Callithrix jacchus: one gene and its partners. The protein of the gene in region 7 interacts with the protein of the main gene of each other region in a pairwise test. Links are inferred from orthologs where the notes say so. Each region holds a gene or a part of one and is shown on either strand. Other genes may lie near its edges.

Evidence for each region.
Region 1: the proteins of UBE2I (region 7) and SETBP1 interact in a two-hybrid assay, tested with the Homo sapiens proteins (2 studies listed by BioGRID). The two-hybrid records come from large-scale screens. The link is inferred for Callithrix jacchus from reciprocal best matches to the Homo sapiens genes UBE2I and SETBP1.
Region 2: the proteins of UBE2I (region 7) and DDX39A interact in a two-hybrid assay, tested with the Homo sapiens proteins (3 studies listed by BioGRID, with this or other methods). The link is inferred for Callithrix jacchus from reciprocal best matches to the Homo sapiens genes UBE2I and DDX39A.
Region 3: the proteins of UBE2I (region 7) and AGTRAP interact in a two-hybrid assay, tested with the Homo sapiens proteins (2 studies listed by BioGRID and IntAct). The two-hybrid records come from large-scale screens. The link is inferred for Callithrix jacchus from reciprocal best matches to the Homo sapiens genes UBE2I and AGTRAP.
Region 4: the proteins of UBE2I (region 7) and NMI interact in a two-hybrid assay, tested with the Homo sapiens proteins (3 studies listed by BioGRID and IntAct). The link is inferred for Callithrix jacchus from reciprocal best matches to the Homo sapiens genes UBE2I and NMI.
Region 5: the proteins of UBE2I (region 7) and ZHX1 interact in a two-hybrid assay, tested with the Homo sapiens proteins (2 studies listed by BioGRID and IntAct). The link is inferred for Callithrix jacchus from reciprocal best matches to the Homo sapiens genes UBE2I and ZHX1.
Region 6: the proteins of UBE2I (region 7) and FMR1 interact in a two-hybrid assay, tested with the Homo sapiens proteins (2 studies listed by BioGRID and IntAct). The link is inferred for Callithrix jacchus from reciprocal best matches to the Homo sapiens genes UBE2I and FMR1.

Annotation. Positions count from the first base shown.
Region 1 is NC_133514.1:87,688,399-87,692,419, reverse strand, and holds the start of SETBP1 (SET-binding protein), read right to left. Parts: upstream 2,801-4,021; 5' UTR 2,545-2,800; intron 2,023-2,544; exon of another isoform or gene 1,888-2,022; intron 1-1,887.
Region 2 is NC_133523.1:13,199,756-13,203,710, reverse strand, and holds the start of DDX39A (ATP-dependent RNA helicase DDX39A), read left to right. Parts: upstream 1-1,155; 5' UTR 1,156-1,285; exon of another isoform or gene 1,286-3,480; intron 3,481-3,955. UniProt on the Homo sapiens protein: Helicase that plays an essential role in mRNA export and is involved in multiple steps in RNA metabolism including alternative splicing. Regulates nuclear mRNA export to the cytoplasm through association with ECD.
Region 3 is NC_133508.1:49,632,902-49,636,401, reverse strand, and holds part of AGTRAP (type-1 angiotensin II receptor-associated protein), read right to left. Parts: intron 2,788-3,500; coding exon 2,682-2,787; intron 1,535-2,681; coding exon 1,339-1,534; intron 1-1,338. UniProt on the Homo sapiens protein: Appears to be a negative regulator of type-1 angiotensin II receptor-mediated signaling by regulating receptor internalization as well as mechanism of receptor desensitization such as phosphorylation.
Region 4 is NC_133507.1:79,062,588-79,066,854, reverse strand, and holds the start of NMI (N-myc-interactor), read right to left. Parts: upstream 2,801-4,267; 5' UTR 2,742-2,800; coding exon 2,568-2,741; intron 1-2,567. UniProt on the Homo sapiens protein: Acts as a signaling pathway regulator involved in innate immune system response.
Region 5 is NC_133517.1:74,119,159-74,122,658, reverse strand, and holds part of ZHX1 (zinc fingers and homeoboxes protein 1), read right to left. Parts: intron 2,817-3,500; 5' UTR 2,592-2,816; coding exon 1-2,591. UniProt on the Homo sapiens protein: Acts as a transcriptional repressor. Increases DNMT3B-mediated repressive transcriptional activity when DNMT3B is tethered to DNA. May link molecule between DNMT3B and other co-repressor proteins.
Region 6 is NC_133524.1:144,482,037-144,486,295, reverse strand, and holds the start of FMR1 (fragile X messenger ribonucleoprotein 1), read right to left. Parts: upstream 2,801-4,259; 5' UTR 2,605-2,800; coding exon of another isoform or gene 2,554-2,604; intron 1-2,553.
Region 7 is NC_133513.1:3,569,106-3,572,605, reverse strand, and holds part of UBE2I (SUMO-conjugating enzyme UBC9), read right to left. Parts: intron 2,410-3,500; 5' UTR 2,399-2,409; coding exon 2,333-2,398; intron 2,145-2,332; coding exon 2,061-2,144; intron 846-2,060; coding exon 773-845; intron 1-772. UniProt on the Homo sapiens protein: Accepts the ubiquitin-like proteins SUMO1, SUMO2, SUMO3, SUMO4 and SUMO1P1/SUMO5 from the UBLE1A-UBLE1B E1 complex and catalyzes their covalent attachment to other proteins with the help of an E3 ligase such as RANBP2, CBX4 and ZNF451.

The DNA of each region.
Region 1 (4,021 bases), on a different chromosome or scaffold from region 7:
CACCACCTCCTCCCCCAGCTCAGCTCAGGTTACTGTAGTGGCTAGCAACTCCCACAGCCCAGGTCTGACACCAACTCTTCCCAAGACCAATAGTTTGTTTTTGTTTTGTTTTGTTTTTTTTTTTTCCCTTAATGGGGGAGAAGAGATCCTGTGCCAAGCAACAACACTCTGGGTACCTGGTCTCCGTATCTTTTGTGGCTACATTCCCTGTAGCCTGCAAATACTCTGTTTAACCACATTTGATTTCTTTCTTCCTCCTCTTCCGACTTTCTCAAAACACTCTGTCTTAACCTTTTCTGGCAACAGGCAATGAAATTAAGCACAGGTGAAAACACAGCACCTTCACCTTCGCTCTGAAACCTGGGAATCCCAGAGCAAAAGAGCTCACGCCTCTCGGGGAGTTTAAGGATGGTAGAAGCCACAGAAATAAGGAAAAAGGGGGAGTGACCTGGGATTGTAAACTGGCTACATCTTACAGTACTACAAACTTTCTCCTCCCTCACACACCCCTGGCCTGTTGGCTCCGCCTTCCCATCCCAGCTATGTCTGGTCCAGTGTTGCAAATGTGGCCTGCACTCAACACCACCCTTCCTCTCCAAAAGACTCTTCTCTACCCCATCCCCTCTTTCCCACAACACACACATGCTTTGTACAGGAAGATGAGTTTGGATGGGGCACAGGAGATATACCTATATACTAAAGGAGGGTAAAAGATGGTGCCAAATTGCCAGATAGTTTTGGTGACAGCACAGAAACTTCAAGAAATTACTTTTTAGTATAAATATACAGAAAAAGAAGAAAAACAGGATAAAGAGTGAAGGAATGAAAAGAAAAAGAAGGAAAAAGATGTCAAAGAAAAACAAGTAATACCAGTATTTCCTTAGAAACCTTGTGGACTCCAACTAAACTTTAAGGTTTGAAAGGTGTGGATATTTGGCAGGAGGTAGGGGGAGTGTAGGGGCTGGAAGGGAAAGGACTCTGCTGTAGAAGTCCAGAATAAACTGGCCTTTTGAAGGAGAGTTTCTGCAGGGATAAAGAGACACACAAATTGCCCTTTTAGCGTTAGATGTCAACCGTGAGATTATCAGGACAGTTTATTTGAAACGGAAACGAATCGGAAATCCTTCCCACAACAGTCCTTTTAGACAGATACACACCCTGAGAATCCAACTCAGACACACATAAAGAATAAATGCAGCATCAGGGGGCAATAAGAACTCCCCTTCCACACTCCCAGTACCTCTAGCCTCATCTCCTATTTCCAATTGTACAACTTTCAATCTCCAAAGAAAATATTTCCAGTTGGATCCTATTTCAGACTTGTAGTAAGCGGTCTGGATGGGGGGGGCGGGGGGAATAGGTGCTGTACTGTGCAGGGGAGAGGGGCTGGAAGACAGTATTTCGGCAGTTAACTTATTTTTTTAGAACCAGCATGCTCTACCGATCAGAAATTGCTATTACCCAACAATGCTTCCATCACAAACAGACACTGAAAACAGCATCCCCGTTATCACCATCTTGCTAAAGATCTGCCCGGTCCAGTTTACCTGACTTTGTCCCTGTGGAACTTCTCAGACAGTATTTTGGTCAAAGAGATAATGGTTTGGAAGACAAAAACAATAAATCGATACCGAAGGCTTCCCTTTCCGGAGTGATTTCCCACTGGAAACCACCGAACGGGGAAGCCTGCCGTTCATTCCCAAGCCCAGGGCTCCTCTAGAAACGCACACAATGCGTGCTTTCAAAAAGGCATTCGTCTGCTTTTAAGGGAATTCCTATCTCTTCAGAGTCCCAAAACCAGAGAGCATAAGAAAGAGACTCAAATCCATTGATTAAGATTTTTAAGAAAAAGACTAACACACAGCCACAACACAAGCACACACCAACCTTCGCCGGCTGGACCACTTCTTGCCTGTTCTTCTTTCTATTAACGACACGTTAGATTCTGATACATTTCCCCCCCCAAAAAAATCCAACTAGGTTACAATGTAGCTCTCTAGCTCCACTTAACCTGCAAGTTACAAAGAGAGCAAAAAAAAAAAAAAAAAAAAAAAAATCCTGCCTTCCCACCCCTTTCCTTACCCCCTCCCCCTCCCGAGTCCACTCCACCAACGCCAAACCCGCCAGCCCCGCCAGCCCCGCCAGCCGGCGGCAGGACCGAGGGAGGGTGCAAAAGGCGAGCGGGGGAAGGGGGGGAGATCAGATTAGGCGAAACTCAATAAGCTCCCAGCCCTCCAGCCCAAAGCTTCCACCATCGCTGCCACCAACGAGCCACTCCAATTGAGCCAGCCTCACCGCCCACCCGCCGGCCCGCCGGAATCGCTTCCATCTCCGGCCACCTAGCCCGGCCCGGCATCCCGCCCCCTCGGCCCGGTCTCCCCCTTCCCGCTCGGTGCAAAGTCAAAGACCCAGCAAGGCGACGTGAACTTTTGCATGCAGGGCACACACGTCGCCCCCGGTTCCTGGCGTACGGGGGCCCGCGGCGCGGAGGGGAGGGAGGCTGGGCTCCTGGACTCCCGGGCCAAGGTCGCCGCTCGTGCTCACCCATGTCCCGGCGGCTCCGGCTCCGCTGGCCCCGGCGCTCGCTCAGATCCCGGCTCCCGTCGCTCGCCCGAGCCCCCAAAGGTGCTGCTGCGGCAACTCCATGGCGATGAGCATCTGTCAAACGGCGAGCCGCGGGCTGGCCGCCCTAGCTCGGGGGGCGCCGGGGCCCCAGGGCGCGCGGAGGCGGCGGCGAGCGGCGGGCGCCCCGGCCGGCCCCGCGCTTCCCGCCCGACTCGGCCGCCTCCGCCGCGCCACCGATTTATGGAGAGAGATATCAAGGGGGAAAATGGCGTCTCCGGAGCCCGAGGAGTCCTGGAGTAATCACATTCACACACACACGCCCGCACGCACACACACTCGCACACAGGCGCGCGGCGAGCCCTGCTAATTTTAGCAGGAGCCAAAAAAAAATTATATATATAAATATATATATATATATATATATATATATATATATCTCCCCGTCTCTCCGATCAATGCTTTTTTTTTTTGGCTTTTTTCTTTTTTTTTTTTTTTTTGGCTTTTTTTTTTTTTTTTTTTTTTTTTTGCTTTTCTTCAAAGGATGGATTGGAGCGTTAAAAATGTTGTAGGGTTTGGGCTCGCAGGAGGCGGCGCGCGGAGGGCTAGGGCGCTTTTGCTGAGCTGTGCAGTTGGGTCCGCAGCGCCCGGCGGCCCTGCCCGCCCGCTTGTCCGCCCGCGGTCGCTAGTGTTGCCGCCGCCGCCGCCGCCGCCGCCGCTCCATGGCCGCGCCCGCCCCGCGCCCCCGCCGCGTCCCGTCGCCGCCCGCCCGCGTCCCCGGCGAGCGCTGGAGTGGGGTCGGGCCCGTGTGCTTGCCTCCGGCGCCCTCTCCGAGTCTCGGACTCCTAGTAAAAGGAAGGGGGAGGGCGCGGGCGCGGGCGCGGGAGGGAGGAGGATCGGAGCGGCAGCGCGGCCCAGCCGAGCGGGGACCGCCACCCGGCGCTCTTCCTCGCAGGGGGCGCCGGTGCCCACGCTGCTCGCCCGGAGACCGGAGCCGGGGGAGGCGCAGCCAGTAGCCAGCCGCGAACGACCTCTCTCCCGACCCGCCCCCCTGCCCCGGTGAATTTCTGTCAATTGAAGGGAGCGGGGCTCTCCCCCGGGGAAAAGGAGAACAGTTCGTGGACAGCGATCCGGGACCCCTCGCCGCCCCCACCCTACGCCCCTCCCGCTCCCCGGAGCCCTCGCGGCCCAGTGGCTCCTGCGCGCCTGAGTCCGCCGCGAAGACTGAGCGGCAGCGGGGAGCGCGGCGGGCTCGGCGCGGGTCCTGGGCTCAACACTGCCACTATCTGACACAACAGGAGCAGTGTCGGGGGGAATGGCGCCCAGGCGTGAGCTGTGATAGGCTCTCGAAACTGGGCGCATTTTTTTTTTTTTTTTAACCTGGTAATTACATTTCACTTTCAGGGGCTTGTTTTTTTTTATTTTATTTTATATTTCTTTTATTAAGCGACTTGTATGC
Region 2 (3,955 bases), on a different chromosome or scaffold from region 7:
CTTTGTTGAGGCCAGGCATGGTGGATCACGTAATCCCAGCACTTTGGGAGGTTGAAGTGGGCGGAGCACATGAGGCCAGGAGTTCAAGACCACTCTGGCCAACATGGCGAAATCTCGTCTCTACTAAAAATATGAAAATTAGCCAGGCGTGGTGGCGAGCGCTTCTAGTCCCAGCTACTTAGGAGGCTGAGGCAGGAGAATCACTTGAACCTGGGAGGCGGAGGTTGCGGTGAGCTGAGATTGTGCCACTGCACTCCAGCCTGGGCGACAGGGCGAGACTCCGTCTCAAAACAAAAAAAAATTGTTGAGCAAAAGTCAGACACAAAAGACAACTCTACTTATGTGAAATTGAAGGAGACAAAGCATCCTGTGGCAATAGGAAAATAGTACAAAATGTCCTCTCCACTTGAGTCATTCCAAGCTCCCTGTTTGTTGTTGTTGTTGTTGTTGTTTTGAGACGGAGTTTCGCTGTTGTTACCCAGACTGGAGTGCAATGGCACTATCTTGGCTCACCGCAACCTCCGCCTCCTGGGTTCAAGCAATTCTCCTGCCCCAGCCTCCAGAGTAGCTGGGACTACAGGCGCGCCACTAATGCCCAGCTAATTTTTTGTATTTTTAGTAGAGACGGGGTTTCACCATGTTGGCCAGGATGGTCTCGATCTCTTGACCTCGGGATCCACCCGCCTCGGCCTCCCAAGTGCTGGGATTATAGGCGTGAGCCACTGCGCCCGGCCACTCCCTGTTCTTTTCAGAGCTTTCACAAAGGAGGATCACCAGGCCGCACATTGAAAGCAACTCCAACAGTTGCGGTTTCGGTTGCTAGCGCAAAAGCCGCGCTTTGAGAGGGTGGGGCACACGCCCTGGGGCAATCTGGTCTTCAGTAAACATGGCGGCACCCATAGAGCGCCACACCCAGATCACCAGACCGCGCGCAGTCGGCGCTCGTCTCGGTCGGCTCACTGGGGCGCGCCTACTTTTAGATTGACCAATGAACGGGAGGCGTAAGGCATGCCCTCTTTCTTTCCCTCTCCACCAATAATCTCCCGGTCCCTTCCACAGGACCCAATCACCGCTTCGGTCTCTCTTGAGTGAAAAGGCAGCGGCCCAGTGAGCAGAGCTGTAGTCTGACGCAAGAGGCAGGAAGCGCGGCAGCTCGTGCGTGAGCGCCCGCGGATAACCGAAGTCGGAAGGCGCTCCTAGCAGCACGCGAAGAACGGGAAGTCAGGTGAGCGGCGGATCCCGGGCGCGGGGCCGCGGTGTGGAGACGTCTCGCCTAAGAACGGGAGTACGAAGGGAGACGTTGGGAGCTAAGGAGAAGAGGAGAAGGGGTCGCGAGACGAGGGGGTCGGGGCGGTTGGGTGTCTGGCGCTGTGTAGTGGCCGTTGGGCACCGGAGCGCATGTGCAGGGTCTGGGGCCGACCGTTGGTGCTCAAGTTTCGGGGCCCGCTTCCGGGAGAGGCTGTCATGGTCCCCTCCGCTCAGAACTCTACTTAAAGTCTGCCACTCCTTCCGAATAGACCGCGCGGCGGCCTGGGGCTGTTTGGAGAGGGACGAGGGGGAGACGCCGGGGTCTGGGGCCTGGTGGGAGAAGTCTGAGCTTCCAGATGTCAGGGGTTTCTTTGGGTCCGAGGGACTTCCCCCTTTCCCAGTTTTCCTTCTTCTTAATTCTATTTTTACGGGATTCGAGATGCTGAGATTTAGGACAAATAAGATTTTCTTTTGGAAGTAGGAGTCCCCAGTAGGGAATAAACTCCGGGGTGGAAAGCCAGCCTGTCTGGGGACACTTAAGGGTAAATGGGTACACGTGGCGTGTCTGGATTGTCAGTTCCTTGCTGTCACATTTCAAGTTAATCCGCTCCTGGCGCCTCCGCGGTCACGGCCACCCACTTAGGCGGGGAAAACCCCTCCACATCCTTTCCTGGTCTAATCTGTTTTGAGCTTTAGATCCTGTCCATCCCGCTTTCTCGAAAATTTTGTATTTTAACAAACTTAATTTGTCCCAATTTTTCTCTTTTTTTTTTTTTTTTCCTGAGACAGCCTTGCTCTGGCCAGGCTGGTCTCGAATTCCTGACCTCAAGTGTTCCAACCGCCTCACCTCAAAGCGCTGGGATTATAGGCGTGAGTCACCACGCCCAGCCCCAGTTTCTTTTTTTAAATTTCTTTTTCTTGAGAAAGGTTCTTTCTCTGTCACCCAGGCTGGAATGCCATGGCGCCATCACGGGCAGCCTCGACCTCCTGTCTCAAGCGATCCTCCTGGCACAGCCTCCCAAGAAGCTGGGACTACAGGCCCGTGCCACCACACCCGGCTAACTTTTTTAAAACATTGTTTTTGTATAGACGGGGTCTAGACTTACTGTCCAGGTTGGTCTCAAACTCCTGGGCTCAAGCCATCCTCCCACCCTGGCCTCGCAAAGTGCTGGGGTTATAGGAGTGTGCCACCATGCCCAGTGTATTTCCTTGAAATACACCATATCTTGGCCACCTAGATTTAGAGCCCATCGTAGACTGTGGCTCTTCTTTACCCATGGATTGCTCAGGGGATGGTCCTGTCTTGTGGCGTGTCCCACCCTTTCCTTCCCTACCTCGCTCTCCTATCTGGTTACTTCTCTTTCATTTGGTGAGGAGTTTTCCCTGCTGCTGGTCTTAACCTCCCACTTTATCAGTGGAGTAAATTACAGTACTCTTGGGCAGATCCTGATGAGTCACTCAACTCTGGCTTAATTAGTAATTCCCCATTGCTTAACAAATTAAGTACACATGCTCTGGCGGGGTGTGGTGGGTTGCTGATGCCTGTAATCCCAGCACTTTGAGAGGCAGAGGCCGGAGGATTGCGTGAGTCCAGGAGTTCATGAGCAGCCTGGGAAGCATGATGAAACTATGTTTCTACTACAGATAGAAAAATTAAGCATGTGGTGTGCACCTCTAGTCCCAGCTACACAGGAGACTGAGGTGGGAGACTTACCTGGGCCTGGGATGTTGAGGTTCCAGTGAGCTATGATCGCACCCCTACACTCCAGCCTGGGTGACAGAGCGAGACCCTGTCTCTGAATAAGAAAATAAAAAGTACCCAAGCCCTGTGCCCGACCAGCTCCTCAGCTTTGTCTTCTGCCCTGACTTCAGCCGGCTAGTCCTACTCTCCATACCCCAAAAGGCTCTGGTGCTTTTTGGACTGACCTTTCTTGGGTCCTGTTCTTTTCCCTGCTGTCTGGGAAGTGGCCCCTTCAGATTGCCTGTTTGAAGGGTCAGATGAAGAGAGATGCTCAACTCTGCCTTAACGCCTTTATTCTAGTTCCATTTACTCAGCCGTTGCTAGAGCGCTTATCTGCTGTTGTAGACACAGGGCAGGGCTGACTGGAAGCGGTGCTTTTCTAGTTGGGGCTGCAAGGAAATGTCGTCCTTTCGGAGCAAAGGAGGCCCAAAAGAAGTCGGGGATTTGTGACCCTTCCAGACAGCAGGAACAGCAAGGGCACAGGTGCTGAGGTGTGTTTGAGAGACAGCAGCAAGGCTGGCGAGTGAGGGGCAATGGGGGAGATGAGGTCTGAGTATACAGGAGCTGGGTCAGGAGGGGCCTGGTAGGCTGGGTTTGTGGGGACTCTCGAGTTTTTTTTTTTTTTGAGCATGGTGGGAACCCATGAAAAGTTTTGAGCTGCATAGTGATGTGCCCTTAGGGTTTTTTCTTTTCTTTCCTTTTTGAGACAGAGTCTCATTCTGTTGTCATGCTGGAGTGCAGTGGCACAATCTCGGCTCACTGCAACCTATGCCGCCCGGGTTCAAGCGATTCTCTGCCTCAGCCTCCCAAGTAGTTTGGATTATAGGCGCCCACTACTGCATCTGGCTAATTTTTCATATTTTTGGTAGAGACGGGGTTTCACCGTGTTAGCCAGGATGGTCTTGATCTCCTGACCTCATGATCCGCCTGCCTCGGCCTCCCAAAGTGCTGGGATTACAGGTGTGA
Region 3 (3,500 bases), on a different chromosome or scaffold from region 7:
GTCCAAGGCAAGATCTACCCCTGCCACCCTGGGGCCAGGCATCCTGACACCACCACAGAGACAGAGGCAGCAGCCCCAGGCACTAAGCTTTTAGCGTGTATCATTCATTCAATCCTCCCGTACTCCTTGCAGCAGGTATCATCCCCACTTTACAGATGAGGAAACAGTGGGTCAAAGAGATGAACTGACTTGCTGAGATCACACAGCTCGAAGCGATGATGCTGCGACCCACGCCTAGGCAGCCAAGCCCAAAGCCAGGCTCCAGGCCACTGTGCCATGGGGTGGTTCCTCAGGCAGCAAGTGCTCAGGAACCTGGGCAGAGGGACACCAGCCCCGGGCCCACACACTCCTCTCCAGCTCCCCTCTCAGGCAGAAGGACACCACATTACTGTATCCAGATGGCCTTGGAGGCTGGGGCTGAGTCCAAGGCAGGACTGTAGCTCCAAACACCCCACACTCCTCACTCTCATCCCCTCCTCTGCACATTCATCCTGAGACCTTGAGCACGTCCCAAGGGCTGTGGGCCTCAGTTTCCTCATCTGTCCAATGGGAGATACATTCTGGCACCCCTTCCCTGGGGGCAGCCCCAGGCCATTCTTACCCTCGACCAGCTGGTGGCAGTCACAGGCCACCTGAGGCCTCTCTTCTCAGGAGTGAAAGGTAGAAGGCCACACCCCACAACCTCCCTCCACTCCTCTCAAAGAGAAAGGAGAGACAGAGGTGTCAGAGAGCAGGCAAACAGCTCGGCCACCAGCAGAAGGGGTACAGGAAAGGGCATGGGAGAGGGCGGGGTGAGGGTGAGGATGGGCGAGTGGGGAGGGATTGGTGGGTACGGGGAGTGCCCACAGTTCAGGGCCGTCTTCGCTGAGGCTCACACAGCCTACGCTAGAGCAGGCTCTCCTTTGGCTACCTAGCACAATCTCTGCCGCAGGAGAGGAAAGACCCCACGTGGCAGGAAATGGGGTTCCAGTGTTGGGGCCCGGTGAGAACAGAGAGGAGACCTGTAGGTGCCGGTGGCCCTCATGCTGGAGATAGCCCAGGGCTGCCCCTGGGAACTAAATGGTACCCCCAGCTGTGCCTGTGCTCTAGGCTGAGAGAAGGGCCTAGCCTTAGCCTCACAGCAGGAGAAGGTCGCAGCGGACCAGGACAGTCAGGGGACCCCTGGGCTCCTGCAGCAGAGACCAGGAGCTTGGACTCCTCCAGCCTGGTACAGAGTGCCCATGCCATGCTCTTCCTGCTGGCCCCATGGGGTAAGGCCAGCTCACTGGGGGAGAGCCTGGGGGCCAGGCAAGGGAGAGAAGGGAGTGGTGGGGAGCTGGCCAGAGGTGGTGGCCTCACCAGTGTGGACCAGGAGCTCACCCCCGCGCTCCCGGTACATGTGGTAGATGAAGCAGCAGGAGAGCGGCTTGAGCAGCAAGCTGAGGATGGCCATGCCCGCGCCGAAGCGGCCCGTGTCCGTGAGGTTTCCCCGCGGATAGAAGATGCTGATGTGTACGATGTCCAGGAAGATGGTGGCCAGCAAGCCACACAGAAACTGCAAGACACAGGCACTGATGAGCACAAGAGCCCTGCCGTGTCCCGTGGCTCCCCACCATGTACCAGATGCGAAGCTGTTTCATGCCCTACTGTGTCCTTGGGGCTTGCTGGAAAACTGAGCAAGCAAGCAGGCAGGACTCACAGGGGAGCGGCTGGCTGAGACTGCAGTCTAGGGGCAGGGACGCAGGGGGCTCAGGTCTCGGTTCCACAGAGCCTCCCTCCCTACCCATTTTCGATCACCTCTAAGACCATGATGGGCACAAGACTGGGCTCTAGAACCTCCATAAAGGAAGGTTCCTTGTTCACCCAGTCTGTCTCCAACACGAAGAAAATCCCTTCTCAGGGCCAGGCACGGTGGCTCATGCCTGTAATCCCAGCACTTTGGGAGGCTAAGGCAGGTAGATCATGAGGTCAGGAGTTCGAGACCAGCCTGGCCAATAAGGTGAAACCCTATCTCTACTAAAAATCCAAAAAATTAGCCGCACATGATGGCACATGCCTGTAGTCCCAGCTGCTTGGGAGGCTGAGGCAGGAGAATCACTGAACCTGGAAGGCAAAGGTTGTAGTGAGCTGAGATCGCACCACTGCAATCTAGCCTGGGCGACAGAGCAAGACTGTCTCAGAACAAAAAAAAAAAGAAAAAGGAAATCCCTTCTCACTCCTCAGTCACCCCGAGCCCTGGCCAAGGCTTGAAGAGCCGGTGCAGGGGGTGCACGCTGCCCCACGGGGCTTGGTGGGTGCTAAGAAGCTTCCCCTGTGGGAAGTTTCGGTCGGCCTGGGTCACCTCTCCTTCCTAAAGTAGTGGCGTGCCCCCTTGGCTGGGTCTCCATGTCCTCTCCCCTAAAAGAGAGCCCCAGAGGCAGGTTATAGGGAATGCTCCATTGCTCTTGCAGAGAAGCCAATCTGGGGCACCCCTTGGCTTTCCTGGGGGAGATAATGGCAGACCTGGGCTTCTCTAAGCCAGGCAAGAAGAGTAGCATGCTCGCTCCCAAAGACAGGCATGGGCTGACACCCGGGAGGCTGAAGAAAAAGGCTTTAGACAACAGGCAGTGGTGGCCCCAGGAAGAGAAGGAAGATTGGGATGGGACAGGGAGGCAGAGCCAGGCCGTGTGTCGCCCTGTGCTTCGGCCCCCGCCCTGGCTCACCATGCTTATGGCGTCGATGGAGTCCCGCTGAGCCACAGCCCACACGCCCAAGGCCAGGATGGTGAAGTTGGCCCAGGCATAGGAGCCCGAGAACACGATGCAGCCCCTGTCAAAGAAGCAGCTTAGTCCCATCAGGTGGCCACCAACCCGCAGGTCACCTCCCTCCTGTGCCAGGGGTCTCAGGGCCTCCTCCCAGAACAGACCTTAGTCTTTGAGGCCACCTGGCTATGTGCCAGCAAATCCCATGGGCTCGCCTCCCACCCAGACCCTGGATCTGGCTGTGTCCCTGCAGGTCCCAAGCACCTCCGTCTCCTGCCAGATGACAGCCTCCTGACTGCCACTCTGTTCTCTAAATAGCAACTGGTAGTGTAGTCAGATGCTGTCAATCCTCTGCTAAAAATCCTCCAACAGTTTTCCATCCCATTTGGAATAAAATGCAGACTCTTCACCAGGGCTTAAGGGGCCCGTGGGACCCCGGGCCCAGCCCCGCCCTCCCTGACCTCCCAGCCACAGCCCCGTACAGTGGGCGCCCTCTACTCTGACACTTGGCCCCCCTTTTGTCATTGAGCAGCAGCTTGAATGTTCACTCTGAGACTCCTTCCCTCACCCACCAATGCTAAGTACGACCTCGTCACTTTCCTAACACAAGGCCCACCCTATTCTACCATTTAGGGTATTGCCTAACTGACATTGTTGATTTGTTCACTTGTCAATCCAATCAAAATCATAGTGAACACAGAGCACTTGCTAGTACCTGGCATGGTTCTAACTATTATTTATTTATTTTTGACGGAGTTTCGCTCTGTCAGCCAGGCTGGA
Region 4 (4,267 bases), on a different chromosome or scaffold from region 7:
AATACTGTTGATTGGAACTAGATTTCAATGTAATCTTGCAGCTGTGGTTTCTGATAGATGATTGAGATAGATAGATGATAGATAGATAGATAGATAGATAGACCTATGTATGTATTTTGTGTATATACAAATACATATATACCCCAGTTCTGTCTGCTGAGAAGGCCTGAGAGCAGAGACAACCACAATGAGCAATGAGCACACTCAGCACCCAGACTTTGGTTTCTGATACCATTCTCCACTAGAAGGAACCAGGACTCTTTAGAGAAATGGTTGATCCCAAAACCAGGACAGAAAAACTGCAAGATGAGCCTGGGACATCTTATGACACCAAAAAGCAAGGAAATGCTTAAAGAATGATGACAACATGTCAAAAGGACACAGAATCCAGCTTGAGATGGTTTTCAGTGACCAAATCTGCGGAAAAAATTAAAGATTAAAATGGATAATGGTAGTACTGATTAAATCTGCTGATTAAAGTAGAAAACTACATCCAGATAAATTAGAAATTTTGGTGAGGAACGGAATTTTTAGTGATCTTCAAAATTCTTCCCCACAAAGTGTTTACTGAGATAGAGACAGAGTTTTGCTCTACTGCCAGGCTGGAGGGCAGTAGTGCAATCCCGGCTCACTGCAACTTCCGTTTTCCGGTTTCAGGCAATTCTCCTGCCTCAGCCTTGCGAGTAGCTGGGACTACAGGCATGCACCACCACGCCCGGCTAATTTTTTGTACTTTTTTAGTAGAGACGGGGTTTCGCCATGTTGGCCAGGATGGTCTTGATCTCTTGACCTCGTGATCTGCCCGCCTCAGCCTCCCAAAGCGCTGGGATTACAGGCGTGAACCACCACGCCCAGCTCACAAAGTGTTTATTACTTTCAAAGAGGAAAAGAGTAACTTTACACTGGAGAAACCTGGCAGATATCAACATAATGAGATAATCAAAGTAAATGATGGAATAAATCAAAATAATGTAACATGTTACAGGATGCACTGAGAACACAACGTGACTTCGATGATCGTCCTGCCAAAGATGCATAACCTGAATCTAAGCATGAGGAAACATCAGACAAACTCAAATCGAGATGTTCTTCAATACAATTGCCCTGTTCTCTTCAAAAGTTTCAAGTTCAGAAGGCCAAGGAAAGACTAAAAAATGTCCACACTGAGACTAAAGAGACGTCACAACTGAATACAAAGTATGATTCTGAGCTGGATCCTTCTGCTATCACCGGGGCTCAGAAACTGATACCCCGAAGTATGGCACTTTGACATGCTGAACTGAAGATGCCTCAAGGTCTCTCTGACCTCCCCCTCCTCCTCTGTCTCTCCCAAAGCACCAGACGAAGGTGCACTGATTCTCTTATCTGCTTAAATTTGGGACCTGCCGGAAAACAAAACAATTACCTCTAGTCCCTTCCCTGAGTTTGTTTGTTTGTTTAGAGACAGAGTCTCGTTCTGTCGTCAGGGGCCAGGCTGGAGTGCGGTGGCGCGATCTCGGTTCACTGCAACCTCCGCCTCCCGGGTTCAAGCAATTCTGCCTCAGCCTCCCGAGTAGCTGGGACTACAGGCACAAGCCACCATGCCCAGCTAATTTTTGTATTTTTTTTTTTTTTCTTTTGAGACGGAGTTTCGCTCTTGTTACCCAGGCTGGAGTGCAATGGCGCGATCTCGGCTCACCGCAACCTCCGCCTCCTGGGTTCGGGCAATTCTCCTGCCTCAGCCTCCGGAGTAGCTGGGATTACAGGCATGCGCCACCATGCCCAGCTAATTTTTTTGTATTTTTAGTAGAGACGGGGTTTCACCATGTTGACCAGGATAGTCTCGATCTGTTGACCTCGTGATCCACCCGCCTCGACCTCCCAAAGTGCTGGGATTACAGGCTTGAGCCACCGCGCCCGGCCTGTATTTTTTTTCAGTAAAGACGGAGTTGGGGGCCAAAGTGGCTCCCGCCGGAGGTCGTGGCGCTTGTGAAGGTGAGGTCATGAGTTCAAGGCTAAACTGAGCAACCTCATAAGCTCAAAGAGATTGGCAAAAAAAAAAGAGACGGAGTTTCACCATGTTCGCCAGGATGGTCTCGATCCCTCGTGATCCGCCCGCCTCGGCCTCCCAAAGTGCTGGGATTACAGGCGTGAGCCACCGCGCCCGGCCCCCTGAGTTTTTATTAACTGAATTCATATCACAGAAAGAAGTCCGAAGTCCGTCAACAAACCTAGAGAGACTTTTGTTACAACCACTGTCTGCTCTGCAAGCCCAACAGGCTTTGTCCAAGGCCACTGTATGTTTTTCAAGTCCCTTGAATTCCCTTAAAAACCATTTACTAACCCTATAATCATCCACACTTCCCAATCTCCCTTTCTCCTAAAAAGTAGGGAATATAACCATCTGTACCCCATTGTACAGTAGTATAATTACTGTGATTTTTTCCCCCGTGCACATTAATAAATGTATATGCTATTTCTCCTATTTAATCTGCCTTTGCCCTTCAAAGAGCAAAGGGGAAGTTTCCCCTAGACCCCTACACTATTCAAGACATCCGCAAAGGGAGGCGGGGGACGGCAGGGCCTACCGGAGTGGGGCAACACTGGGGTTGAGATCCTCCTCCCGGAGCTGCCCGCAGCCGCGTCGCAGAGGCTACGCCGCCCGTCGAGGGGGCGCTCCTGCTTCTGGGCCCGCTGTGCAGTCTCTGGGCCGTCAGGGCTTGGAACCCTGTTTGCTTCGCACCTTGTTTGCTTTGCTTCATTCAGGAAATTGAAACATAAAATAATTTGTGTTTCCTCGCTGTTTTCTCGGAGTGTCTCTAGAGATAACTCTTAGGAAAACAAATTTCTTAAGAAAATGATTCTTGGCAGGGGCAGAGTTGTGCAGTCATGGCTCGCGTTGCAGAACAGGCAAGGTTTTTTTTAAAGGAGTCATCCGAAGGGAATACTGTTTCCAGTCTGTATGTACAACAGGCAGACGTTCTATCACCTTTCTTTCTTTTTACTGCCAGGAACGCTTATAGGAAGATTGGATTCTACACGGCCTGGCACCACAGTGGTATGACTGATTAGGGAAATACAGTGATAATGATTTGTATTCGTTTTTTTATTCTCTGCCATAACAAATTACATGGATTTAGTGACTTAAACACATAGGCACACACACACACACACACACACACACACTCTACTGTTTTAGGATTCTGTAGCAGTCTTACTGAGGTCTCACTGGGTTAAAATCAAAGAGTTGGCAGGGTTGCCTTTCTCTCTGGAAACTCTTGGGATGAATCCCCTTTCCAGCTTCCAGAAGCCACCTACCTTAGTGAAATTCACATTGGATCTGATTATTAAATTGTAGTATTGTAGCTCTACTAATTTGCTGATTTTGATGGCTGTATTGTGGTTATATCTTTTTTGTAGGAAATATATACTCAGCTATATAATGAAGGGTGATAGGTCATCAGATTGGAAATCTATTCTTAAATAATTTAGGAAAAAGAAAAGTTGTTTTACTGTACTTGCAACTTTTCTGTAAGTTTGAGATGACATATATATATATTTTTTAAACCACATCACACACACACAGACATACACATACATACATATGTACATATAGATCACTATTATATCAACAACTGCAGAATCTTCCTAACAGTGGTCAGCCATGGTCTGATACATCCTAACTCCAACCCACTTTCTAGCCTTAGGCAATTCCTCAACCCAGTTTCCTAACCACACTGAACACTTGGACAGTTCCTTTTCTTTCCTGTCCCTCAAATTCTCACATCCTTCCTCCTCTCCCAACCTTAATCATCATCTCATGAAATCTTACTGTGCTTCAAGGTCCATTCCAAATTTTCCCCAAGTTTCTGAAGCCTTTTCTGTTCCCCAAAAGTATGTTACTCCCCATCCTTTATCCCTTTTGTGGTGATTTAATTATGTTTGTACCTGTGTCATTTTCCATGACATGTCATTAAAGATGTTGAGGGCTGGGACCATGTCTACTCCTCCCTGCAGACCTTCAGAGCACTTTCTCCATATAAACTTACACACTGAAAACATTCTATTTAGAGAATTATGTATTATCTTGTTTGAGTATTTGTTGTACTCAGGACATCACATGCATATGAAGTCCTCTTATTACATTTCAGAAGAGAGAAACTGCAATGTTATTTAATTGCTTCTTTATTTTTATTATTGTGACAATGCCAATATTCCTAAGAGCCTGTAATAAAAGCTCTCAGCATAAATGATCTGCTATATAACACCCCAGAACCCCTTTGGCATT
Region 5 (3,500 bases), on a different chromosome or scaffold from region 7:
TTCACATGTCGAGGGGGTTCCCAAGTGTCACTATCATCTGTCTCTTCTTCATCCTCTTCCTGGTCATCAATAACTTCATCTTCCTCCTCATTTTCCTCAAATAATTCTATACCTAATTCTGATCTTCTCTGTCTTTCAGCAAACCACTCTCTGACCTGCTCATATCCCATATGTGATTTGTTAACAAGTTCATCGAGATCTTGCTCATTAAGAAACTTGTGCTTCAGGTAATAATCCTTAAGTATTGCAGTTCCAGTTTTAAATTTTATGAGTGATGGTCCCCTGTCCCAGTTGTTAATTCTTTTGCTTCCTCTAGGCCGCCCACGCGGTCTTCCTCTTCCCCGTCCTTTGGGTCTCCCTCTCCCTCTTTTCCGAAGGGAAGATAGACCATTCATACCACTTGAATTGGCGCTCTGATAGTAGTAATACCATTTCAAGTTTCCATTCTTCCAAGCATAACGTGTGTCCCCAAACCAACTAACTATGTCTGTTCTAGCAAGCCCGCTTTCTTTGGCCAACTTGTCATATTCTTCTGGTGATGGCCACTGTGTCCGGACAAATGCACTCTTAAGCATGTGCAGCTGCTCAGGTGTTTTTTTACATATCTTGCCTGTACTCCCTGACTTAGGTGCACTAGATTCATCTCCAGGAGAAGTTTCTCCAGCTTCTTCTTTGGAACTACCTGCATTACTTTCATCTATTTCCATTTTATCTTCCTTTAAAGCTTTTGATTTCTTCTTCTCTGTAAACCAAGCATCGATTTCTCTTCTGGTAAGTTTGGTTTGTGCCCTTAACCTATTTAATTCTTCATCTGTAAGTACAGAGCTGTTGAGAAAACTTGCCTGAAGGACACGAAGCTGCTCTGCAGTTTTCTCTTTAAACTTTTGGGGAGTAAAGTCGGGAAAAGGATTCCAGGATTGCTTAGGCTGTGCAGTAACAACAGTAGGGGATTCGGTGGTTTCATCACTGGAGTCTATAATAATGGTGGCAGAGGAATCATTGTTGAGATGTAAGCACTGATTACTCTTTGAATTTCTCTGGTTGTACCTTGTGTCACTAAACCATTTTTTAATCTCTCCTTTCGTGAGGCCTGTTATTTTCATAAGTCTGATAATTTCTGAATCATGGGGAAACTGATTTTTAAGGTAGCTAACTTTTAATTCCGCCAGTTGCTCTTTTGTCTTTTTTGCCCGAATGCCAAAAGAATCAGGGTTTATCAATGCAGTTTCGTGTTTGATACTTTGAGAAGTTGGAACTGCTGCTGTTGCAGGCTTTGTTTCTGCAGTAGGCTGAGAAGCAGGTGCCTGACTTTTCTGTACATTAGTTTGATTTGGAACCCCTGCCACTGTCAAGGCTATAGGTGCTGTAACTGGTAAGGTGTTTGTTCCAGCCACTTGAGTAAGGACCAGACCAGGCTGACCAACTATTTGGCATGTCTGTAAAATAGATGGTAAACCATTACTCCCTGTAGAAATTTGTGTAGGAATAACAGTTATGGTCTGAGGTACAGTATGCACCGTTCCATTGAATTGTTTCCTTCTTGCCTCCTCTACTTCCTCGGGAGTCCAACTAACACCATGTTTTAAACGTTGGGCTGAAAACCATATCTTGATCTGTTCCTCTGTATATTTTGCTTGAGCAGAAAGAACCGTAATTTCTGACATTGTTGGATAAGGGAATTTGTTGTAGGTGTTAAGTAAAAGGGGGTTGTTGTCCAATGCAGCATTGTAGGTGGGAATGCTATTAACAGGGATTAAGACTTTGGGAATCAAATTAGAATTCTGCTGGGCAGATACAGCAGTTATCACCTGAGCTAATCCAGGAAGAACTGCTGCTGGTGTCACTACTGTGCTGGCAGTATTTGGATGTATTCTGTTTACAGTGGAAGTACTTGTATTAGATTCAGAAGCTGAAGAACTTGGATTTTCTACAATTTCTTCACGGTCTGGTTTGATTTCATTTTCTTTCTCTTCAGGAACATCCTCAACTGAGTTATGATGAACTGCAATCCGTTTGTTTTCCACTTTATTTTTCATCATTTTCATGATAGGAGTTTTACTGATAGATATTCCCGAAGAAACTTCTGTAGATTCCACTTGCTCTGCATTCTCCTCTTTAACAAAACTACCATCAAAAGTCAGATCATTTATTGTTTGTTCAAAGATTGTCTGGTTATTACGTTTGACCATAGTCAACTTAAAATTCTCTTCTCCTGGGTGGTATTTCAGATTATGCTCAGAAAGTGCATCATACCTTTTGGTAAGAAAATTGCATTCGACACAAACATAGGATGAATTTAGCACTACATTGGGATGTTCTGAATCCACATGAAAAGTAAACATATTTAGATCTGGAGTTTGAAAAGTACAATATTTACATTCATATCCGCCTTCAACTTTTTTATTTTGCTGATTGTCAGAATCCACAGATTCATGAACTTCTTCATCACTTGAAATACTCTCTGCTCTGGTGTTTTCTACAGGTGTAAGTACAGGAGGACCTTCATCCAAATCTGATATCAACTCAAGGTCTGGATCTTGTTCACTGGCAAGGACCATGCAAGGTGTTGTTGATTTTCGTCTGCTTGCCATTCTGATGTTATGAGGAGAAGCTCAGTGGTGATTAAAAAGCATCGAGGCTTGAAACTGTTCAGTGTTCTTCATTTGAAAACAATGGCTTTTGGTTCTTCAAGTCCATTTTTGTGCTCAAGAAGTCTCGTTAGCAGCTTTCTCATGGTGCAATCAAGTAAAGAGCTTATTGTTGGCAGATAAAATACTGCTGAATTGCTGAAATTTTTGAAGCACAACTCCAATCACCTACATTAAAATAAATTTAAAAATGTTTTAAAATGAGTAACTATGATCTTTTAAACAAATTATAGTTACAGTTCACTTATATGAAGTTGCTGGATAGCTCAGTTATAAAGATCTAGAATAAGGTAAGAATCAGGAAAAATATCCTCTAAGGATCAAAATAGCTGTTTTCAAGCCAACTCATTGAAGGTTAAGTGTTTTACCTTGAGTCAGACACAAGATTATTTATTTGAATTTTTTTGCCAGCTATATATTAAAAGACAAGGGAGAAACGACCGGCTTTGGCAAGCACCCTATTATTAATGTGAAGTGGCAACATTAACAAGGGAGGAGCTTTAACACTATAAAAAACATTCACAGATACTATCATGGCCAATAAGCATATAAGAAATTTAGCCTGGCCAACATGGTGAAACTCCATCTCTACTAAAAATACAAAAATTAGCCAGGCGTGGTGACAGATGCCTGTAGTCCCAGCTTCTTGGGAGGCTGAGGTAGGAGAATCTCTTGAACCTGGGAGGCAGAGATTGCAATGAGCCAAGCTTGTGCCAGTACATTCCAGCTTGGGCAACAGAGTGAGACTCCATCTCAAAAAAGAAAGAAAGAAAGAAATTTAATCCATTAGTTACATCCTCTTCTTCCTACTGATCTATCTCATCAGCCAAAAGCATGCTTCAAGTATAGCAA
Region 6 (4,259 bases), on a different chromosome or scaffold from region 7:
TCATCATTATGCATTTAGAAAACACTTTGTAAAGATTTCATGAGGTGTAAGTCAAAGTGTCTTCATATCTTAAATAGCACCAGCAGGGCTCTGTAAGTGGTACACGTGACCAACTTTTTCTAAGTCAAATACCTAAGCTTAAAAGTAGTGGCTCCGGTGATTACTAAATCTAACTTAAGTTTTTAAGAAGAAACACCAGAAAAAGAGGAAATATGGTGGTTATGTTAAGCAAATCAAAGTCTGAATTCAATTATACCTAAGTTGTTTGATTTGTTTCGTTTTCAAAGCTTTTCTATCAATTTGAACAAGGTTCCTATTTCTTTTTCCATAAATGTAACACTTCTCCATTGTAGTTCATTTTTAATTGGTTTTTGTTTCACATCTTTCCTGTCCATCCCACTGGACAAGCAACTCAGTTTACTTTGGCTTTACTTTTATAACTCACAGTAATATTATAAGTCATATAAAAACTTTGAGCTTTTTGTTACAGAAACCATTTTTCCATCAGTGCAGACCATTTGACATTTTCTTAGAAATCAAACTTAAATAAATATAACAGCAATTTCTCTGACACACACTTGTTCAAGTATTACATTTCTCCTCAGGGAACTAAGGGGCAACCAATCTATTCTTCATTTACTTTCAAGTTAAACAACTTTGTTACAAAACAAAACCCAAAAAGGGGGAAATTAATAGCAAAAAGAGAAGGCATTTCTTATATTCCAGTCAGTTTGCAAGCAAAATCACTGGAGCAAATCCTAAGTGGCTGGAAGAGAACAATAAGTACTTCAAGGCCAGAATGTGCTACTTGCCCTCTGTGGTAAGCAACCTTTAGTGGCATCCAACCTAAGCTGATATCACATATCAATCAGAATCCTGCTTACCCATTAGCCCTTACTCATACATATATATATACGTATATACAGTTATTAGTGGCAGAATCTAGTGACCAAACTCTCTAGGACCCTGAACCATTCTACGCAAACTCACCAGAAAAAAATACGGATCAATAAAATCAATGCAATTAAAATTTTGACTGCAGAGTCAACTGAAACAACTGCATATTCGTGAGACTGTTAAGAACAGAAACGTGGGATTACTTTGTGCCTCCTTTTACAGTGAAAGGTTTTATCTTTGTGCTCAAAGTATGGACAGTTTACATACTTTACTCATTTATGAAATATACTGATCTCCAAATGTCTTCATAAAATTGGTAAACCCAGAATATATTAAAGTCAAATTGTCTATTTTCCTAACCAAACTTGTCATGTTTGAAACATTGAAGTCGTTTTTTAATAAATTTAAGAATTGTGTTGGACACTGGTAATACCTATTTTCCATGCTTCCTTCCACGTGCACCTTTTATTGCCAAAATACTGTAGTAAGGTGGAATATTATTTACAGAGATTATAGACATTCAAGAGGAAATGAGAATTACAAACGCACTCCTGCTACATCAAATTTGTAAATCTTCCTTTTAAAAATGAAAGGTGTTAGTTGATCTGCAAGGGTGTAACTTTAAAAAGCACAGTACACCCATGGATCCCTAAGCCTCAACAATTCAGTCCACTGCCACACCACAAATTCGAAGGAAATATGGTCAAGTTCTTAAGGGCACAAAAATATTTTTGCTCAGTTTAAAAAATGCCCTAGTAATATACTCTCTGTTAATTTCCTGAAGTTCCATGGCATATATTTAGGTTTCTGGAAACTTACACACACACACACACACACACACACACACACACAATTTTTAAGTAACAGAGTTGCTAATGGTTTTAGACGCTGAAGCGTGTGCATTCCTGAATTTACTCCGTTTAACAAAAGGGGGGGCGCGAATATTCACGATGATCAACGTCTTCAATGCATTGCTGAGCCATGTTAGGGTCTTCCTGAAACTTTTGGATCTAAAAATCTCCTCCGAAATCCACAAAGAGAAGCCACTAAAAATCAGTTGCCATTGTGATTTGGTGCCGACTACCGCTTCTTACTACTCTTTCTTCACAGCCCTCGCCCAGAGCAGGGGAGCTCTCCGAAGTCCCAATGCTGGACCGGAAAAGAGAAGCCAAAGGAGACCTGAAACCCTCTTGGCAGTGCAGGAGGCGGCCCGGCTGAAGAGCCCCCCGCTCCTCCACAACTACCCACACGTCAGGCCCGGATCCCGCTGGGAGAAGATATTTAGGAAAGAAGGAAGAAGCCGTCGCCGTCACTTAGCGCGGATTTCGGCCCTTCCCGCCCCGGCTCCTGTACCTGCCGCCGGCCCTCGCCCATCCCCAGCTCACCCCGGCGGGGCTCAGCGCCGAAAGGGAACCCTGTCCTCGTTCGTCTCTCATCCCGTTAGGCGCTAGGGCCTCTCGGAGTCGGAGCGGAGCTCGAGGGGCTTCCTACAGGCCCCAAGTCCAGTCCTTCCCTCCCAATCAACATCCCGCCGAGCGTGCCCTGGCACCCAGGCGCGGCGCTGGGGTAGAGGGCCCCGGGCCTGCCCCCGCCAACGTCAAGAAGAAAAAGGAGGGAAGGAAGGGCGAAGATGGGGCCTGCCCTGGAGCCAAGTACCTTGTAGAAAGCGCCATTGGAGCCCCGCACTTCCACCACCAGCTCCTCCATCTTCTCTTCAGCCCTGCTCGCGCCGGGAGCCCGCCCCCGAGAGGTGGGCTGCGGGCGCTCGAGGCCCAGCCGCCGCCGCCGCCGCCGCCGCCGCCGCGCTGCCGCACGCCCCCTGGCAGCGGCGCCTCCGTCACCGCCGCCGCCCGCGCTCGCCGTCGGCCCGCCGCCCGCTCAGAGGCGGCCCTCCACCGGAAGTGAAACCGAAACGGAGCTGTGCGCCTGACTGAGGCCGAACCCTCGGCCCGCTGCGCGTGTAAACACTGAAACTGCGTCACGTGATCGACGCTGTTCCCTCCCCCCGCGGGCTCAGCCCCTCGGCCCCGCCCTCTCGCTTCCAGTGGCCAGGGCGCGCGCGCATGCGCGTTGCTGGGATCGGGCCGGAGTGCCGGGTCGAACGTCAGAGGCGCGGGCGGGGCGTGCGCGGGCTCGGCGGAGGGCGGGAAGGCTGAAGGGCGGTGACAGGTCGCACCGCCTCGCGAGGGTCAGAACTCCCATTTCTGCAAAGGTGCATGCTGTGTCGTGTGAAATCAACTGCATCCGGTTATCCCATTGGCCTCACTAGGATTCCGGGGGCATGTCTGGTTTGGTTTGATTCAAAGTAGCGCAGAGCCTGATTGAGCGGGAGGTGGAGTGGAAGGCGAGAATGAGGGTAAAGGAGTAGATTGACGAAGACTTTGAACTAGGAACAGTGGCAACCAGGGTGACCTTGGCTTTCGAGACCCATAGAGGCAGAGGGTGAAGAGTCACGCCCTCTCTCACCAGATTTTGGGCTTTCCTGTGGAGACATCCTGGGCCCTTTCAGGGACAGTGTATTGAGTCAGGACCTCAAAATGTTAGCCTTTCCTCACACCCAGCTTTGACCCATGTACTTGCCTTTCCTCAATTTATTTTCGTGCTTTCACTTGACACACTTTAAAAAATTGTGTTAAGCACTTCTTAATGTCTTTAAAGTTCGTTTCTGCCCCTACTGTATGTGCACCCTGTGTCGGGGTGCACGTATGTGTGGCAGTCATGGGTCCTGTCTACAGGGGCCGTTGCACCTCCTTGCAACCCTTTACCTTCTACTCTAAAACAAAGCCCACCTTTTTCTTATTCCTGTTTCTGCACGGTGCTTATAGCTGCGTTGATCCATGTTTCCTTAGGGATGCTGGTATCCAGCTGAGAAGTTTATGGAGCACCTATCATGTGCCAGGCACTGTGCTCAGTGCTAGCGAGAAATTGGTGAGTAAAACAGAAAAAAAAAAAGAAAAGAAAAGACTGCCAGCATTGAACTTGGAACCTAGAGAAGTAGATGGACATAAATTATCCTGGCAAGTAAATGAGGAGTTGCAGCTGTGATAAGGGCTACGAAGAATAGGTGCATCCATGATGACATAACATGACCCAGTCTGGGGTGGAGAATCGGGAATGATTCCAGCTGGAATATGGCAGGTGAGAGTTAACTGTAGCACTGAGTTTGCAGAGGCAGGATGACCTGCCCCAGGCAGGTGCCCCAGAATGAGAAGATGTTGGTGCTGGTGGAATGTCAGCTTTAAAGCGGTGGATTTAGGGCCACATTCCTCAAGGCCATAGTAAACAGGAAAGACCTTTTTGGACTACTGTCTTTGGAGTAGTCACTTGAGACCAAGACTTCAATAGGGCTGAAAGAGAATCTC
Region 7 (3,500 bases):
GAGGGTGGGTGCCACGGTGGAATGCTTGTGTGCCTCGACTGACAATCACAGGGGAAAGCTTTTTCAACTGTCGCCTCACCATGGCCAGGCGCTCTCTAGGTGCTGGGTGCATTGACGCGTGGAACTCACTGGACACCACCTGCCGACTGCCAGCTATGGGAGGGCGGGGACCCGGCGGCCCTCTCCTCCCTCCTGAGCTTTGCTGCACTGGCTGGCTGAGGTCATCAGCTTAGCTATGGGCAGGATCTGGGGCCTGGCCACAGCCTTTCTTCCCATGCTTCCTCTGCTGTCACCTGCTCTATACCTGCTCAGGCTGCAGACGCAGCCACGGTGGGGACAGACCGTAAGAGACCACACAGCAGGAGCAGTAAGAAGGTGGACCGACAGAACTCCTCAGAGGGTGAGACTGCATGGCAGTCCCTCTGCACATCCATCCATCCAGGGCAGGGTCGTGCGGTCACCAAGTCCTCTGTCCTCAGTGAGGCTCCAGGCACTCCCAGTCCAGGAGCTCCGGCCTGGCTCTCAGTCCCTCCGTGCACAAGACTCTGGAGCTTCCCAGCCCATTAGCCAGGACAAGACTAAACCTACTGTGTGCACCGCCCGGCCCCGGAGCTGGAAACAGACTCAAATCTGCAGCCCAGCCGGGATCAAGAATCAAAGGCGACCTCCCGGTCTGTGATCTCCCTCCCAGCTCCACGCAGACCACCCAGCCCAGGGCGCCACGGCCGCAGCCAGGGGTGCCTTCCAGGGCACTGAATGGCGAGGTACTCACATTTCGGTGGTGAAGATGGATAGTCATCTTTGAAAAGCATCCGTAGTTTAAACAAGCCTCCTTCCCACGGAGTCTAATGGGAAATAAACCGTGGTGAGATGAGCTGCTCGCCCGCACAGGGCGGCCCAGGAGGAAGGGGCCTGCTTCTCAGGCACAGCCCCCAGGACACCAGGGGCCAGAGGCCCAACAGAGGTAGCTCCTAAACCAGCCTGCAGCCTGGAACAGCCTCAACAAGAGGGCTGTCAGGACCTCTGCTGTGCCCAGAGTAAGTTGGAAAGGAGTGGAGGCGGGAGGTGGGGGCCGGGCTGGGGGCAGAGCACCGCACACTGGGGCTGGCACAAGGGCACCAAGAGCACAGCATTGCCCTCACCCCAGGGGTGTTCCCAAGCACCCACCCCCATCCCGCCTGGACGAGGCACCTCTGCCGCCCACGACCCCACACCACCTTCCACCTTCCTTGGCGCTGTGCACCAGCCTCGCCCTAACGTGAGGGGCAAGGACGTCCTCATCAGAGCCTCGGACAAGTGACGAACCCAAGCCACGCTATGTCTCGGGCAAGGCAGAGTCCTGGGGGCTGCTGAGCTCAGGGGACCAGAGCTGCTCTGAGTTTCACAGAAACCCAGAGCGGGGCCAGAGCCGGAGGGAACGAGGCCTTAGGCAGGACCAGCACCTCAGGGGTCTCTCCGCTCCCTTCGGAATCAACAAGCATGAACTGCACGTGCACCGCAGCCTGGAGTCCCCGGCCAGGCGCTTCACGTGCGCGGGCCAAAGAAGACAGGCACATGGGCTGTGCTGCCTGCCAGGGACACACAGGGGTCCCCAAGCAGGACGCCCAGGCAGACGCCGCCGGTCCCTGGGGGGTCTCCAGGAGGCGGCTTTACGCAGGGCTGGCTCCCCCTACAAACCCGCTCCCGAAAGCTGAGCCACACGCTGAAGGACGCAGCCGAATCCTGAAGGACTCCTGCCTCTCCACCTGCTCTCAACCTCGCCTGTGCAGCTCTGCGTTCCCAACACACATCAGAGCCCCTCCCTGCTGCCACAGCTCAGCCTTGTGCCCGGCCAGGTGCCAGCCTGCTTCCTTCTCAACCAGAACTGCCCTGGGAGGGGATACAGCTGTCAAACCTTGCCAGTCCCACCTTCTGCGTTCACGTCCCGATGGGGCAGGGGCCAGGACAGAGCTGGGATTTGACCTGTGACAAGGATGGCTGTCACGGACGGCAGGGATCTGAGTGGTTTCCCTGTGGTGCTGGGCCCCGCCAGGCGGAGGCCGGCAGCGTGCGCCTCTTACCCCTTTCTTTCCTGGAATGGCGCACTCCCAGTTCATGAGGTTCATCGTGCCATCGGGGTTTTTTGTTGGGACAGCCACGAAACCCTGAGAGAAAACAATCACAAAAGCCCATCAGCGCGGTGGCATCATTTCACCAAGATCACCGAGAACCCGCCTGTGAGTCCCAGTGGCTGGGCACAGGCACGTGGCCGGCTCCCTTCCGGCAGGGACGTGACAGTTTCAACCCGGGAGACTGCCCACTGCGCTGCACACGGACATGAAGCTCTCCTTACAAACGGGTGGTCTTTTCTCCACGCTTTCCTCTCCTGAGCGAGTCTGCTGAGGGCGATCCCCGACATGTTCAGAGTCCCTGCAACACAGGAGGCAGAGCACGCCATCAGGAGAGGCGACGCAGGCTCCTGCTGCCCGATCACGCGCACACCGGCGCGCAGCAGGTGGACCTGCTCCAACACCTGCTGGCCCAGCTCAGCAGGACTCTTCTGCAAGCCGCTGTCCAACCCTGGGGTCCACCAGGGGAGGCTTTGTGAGTGGCTCCCAGATCACCTGCCGGGGTGGGGGGCAGGTAAGATCCCTTCCCTGTGCCCACCCCCACCATGCCCCCATCTGTGGCACATGGTGTGGCCTCTGCTCCATGGGGACAAAACAGACATTCAGAGACTAGGTGGTAGCTGCCACCCTGTGGTGGCTGGCATGGCAGGGTCCCCACCACACCACCAGGTGGGGAATAGGCAGGGCTGGGTCCCCAGGTGTGTGTGGGGTACTGGGTCCCTGACTTAGTATTGGGCACTCAGAACTGAGACATCGGCCAGTGGACTCCTGTTATTCTTGAAGACAGGACGGAAGAAGCACCAGAGGGCAGAGGCTCAGACTTGCTGTGGGAGGAGCCCCCACAGGGCCACCCTTCCCAGACCCCACAGCCACTACCGCAAACCTGTGGCTTCAGGGGACAGCCGGGTCCTGCCGGGCAGAGCAGAGCTCGGCATAGGGGACCAGATCCCTGGCCAGACGAAGTGGCACACATTTGGATGGGAGCTCAGGGGCCGGGCACCTTTGCCTTATGGCTCTAGGTGGGAGCATGCTGGACCGCACTGTCGCCGCAGGAGGGCTGCAGATCCAGGGAGATGTTCCTGGCGCTGAGGACACCAGGGGGCGGGGCCCGCAGCCTCAACGCCACCCTCGACGGTCACCCTGCTGGTGGCCACCTTTACTCACGGAAACAGCACTCTGTTTACCGACTTGCTGGAGAATCGAAACCTAAGTGTGTGCTGGTTAGCAAAGTCCACAGGGACGCTGCAGCCGCCCTCAACTCTGGTGTTTCAGCACCAAAGGGGGGCACCTCTGTGGAGCTGAGGACTCCGCCAGGCCTTCTACGCTGTAGGGGGGCCGTCCTAGGTGGGCACAAGGGCCCTGGTGACCTGGATGGTGTGGGACCCGTGGAGG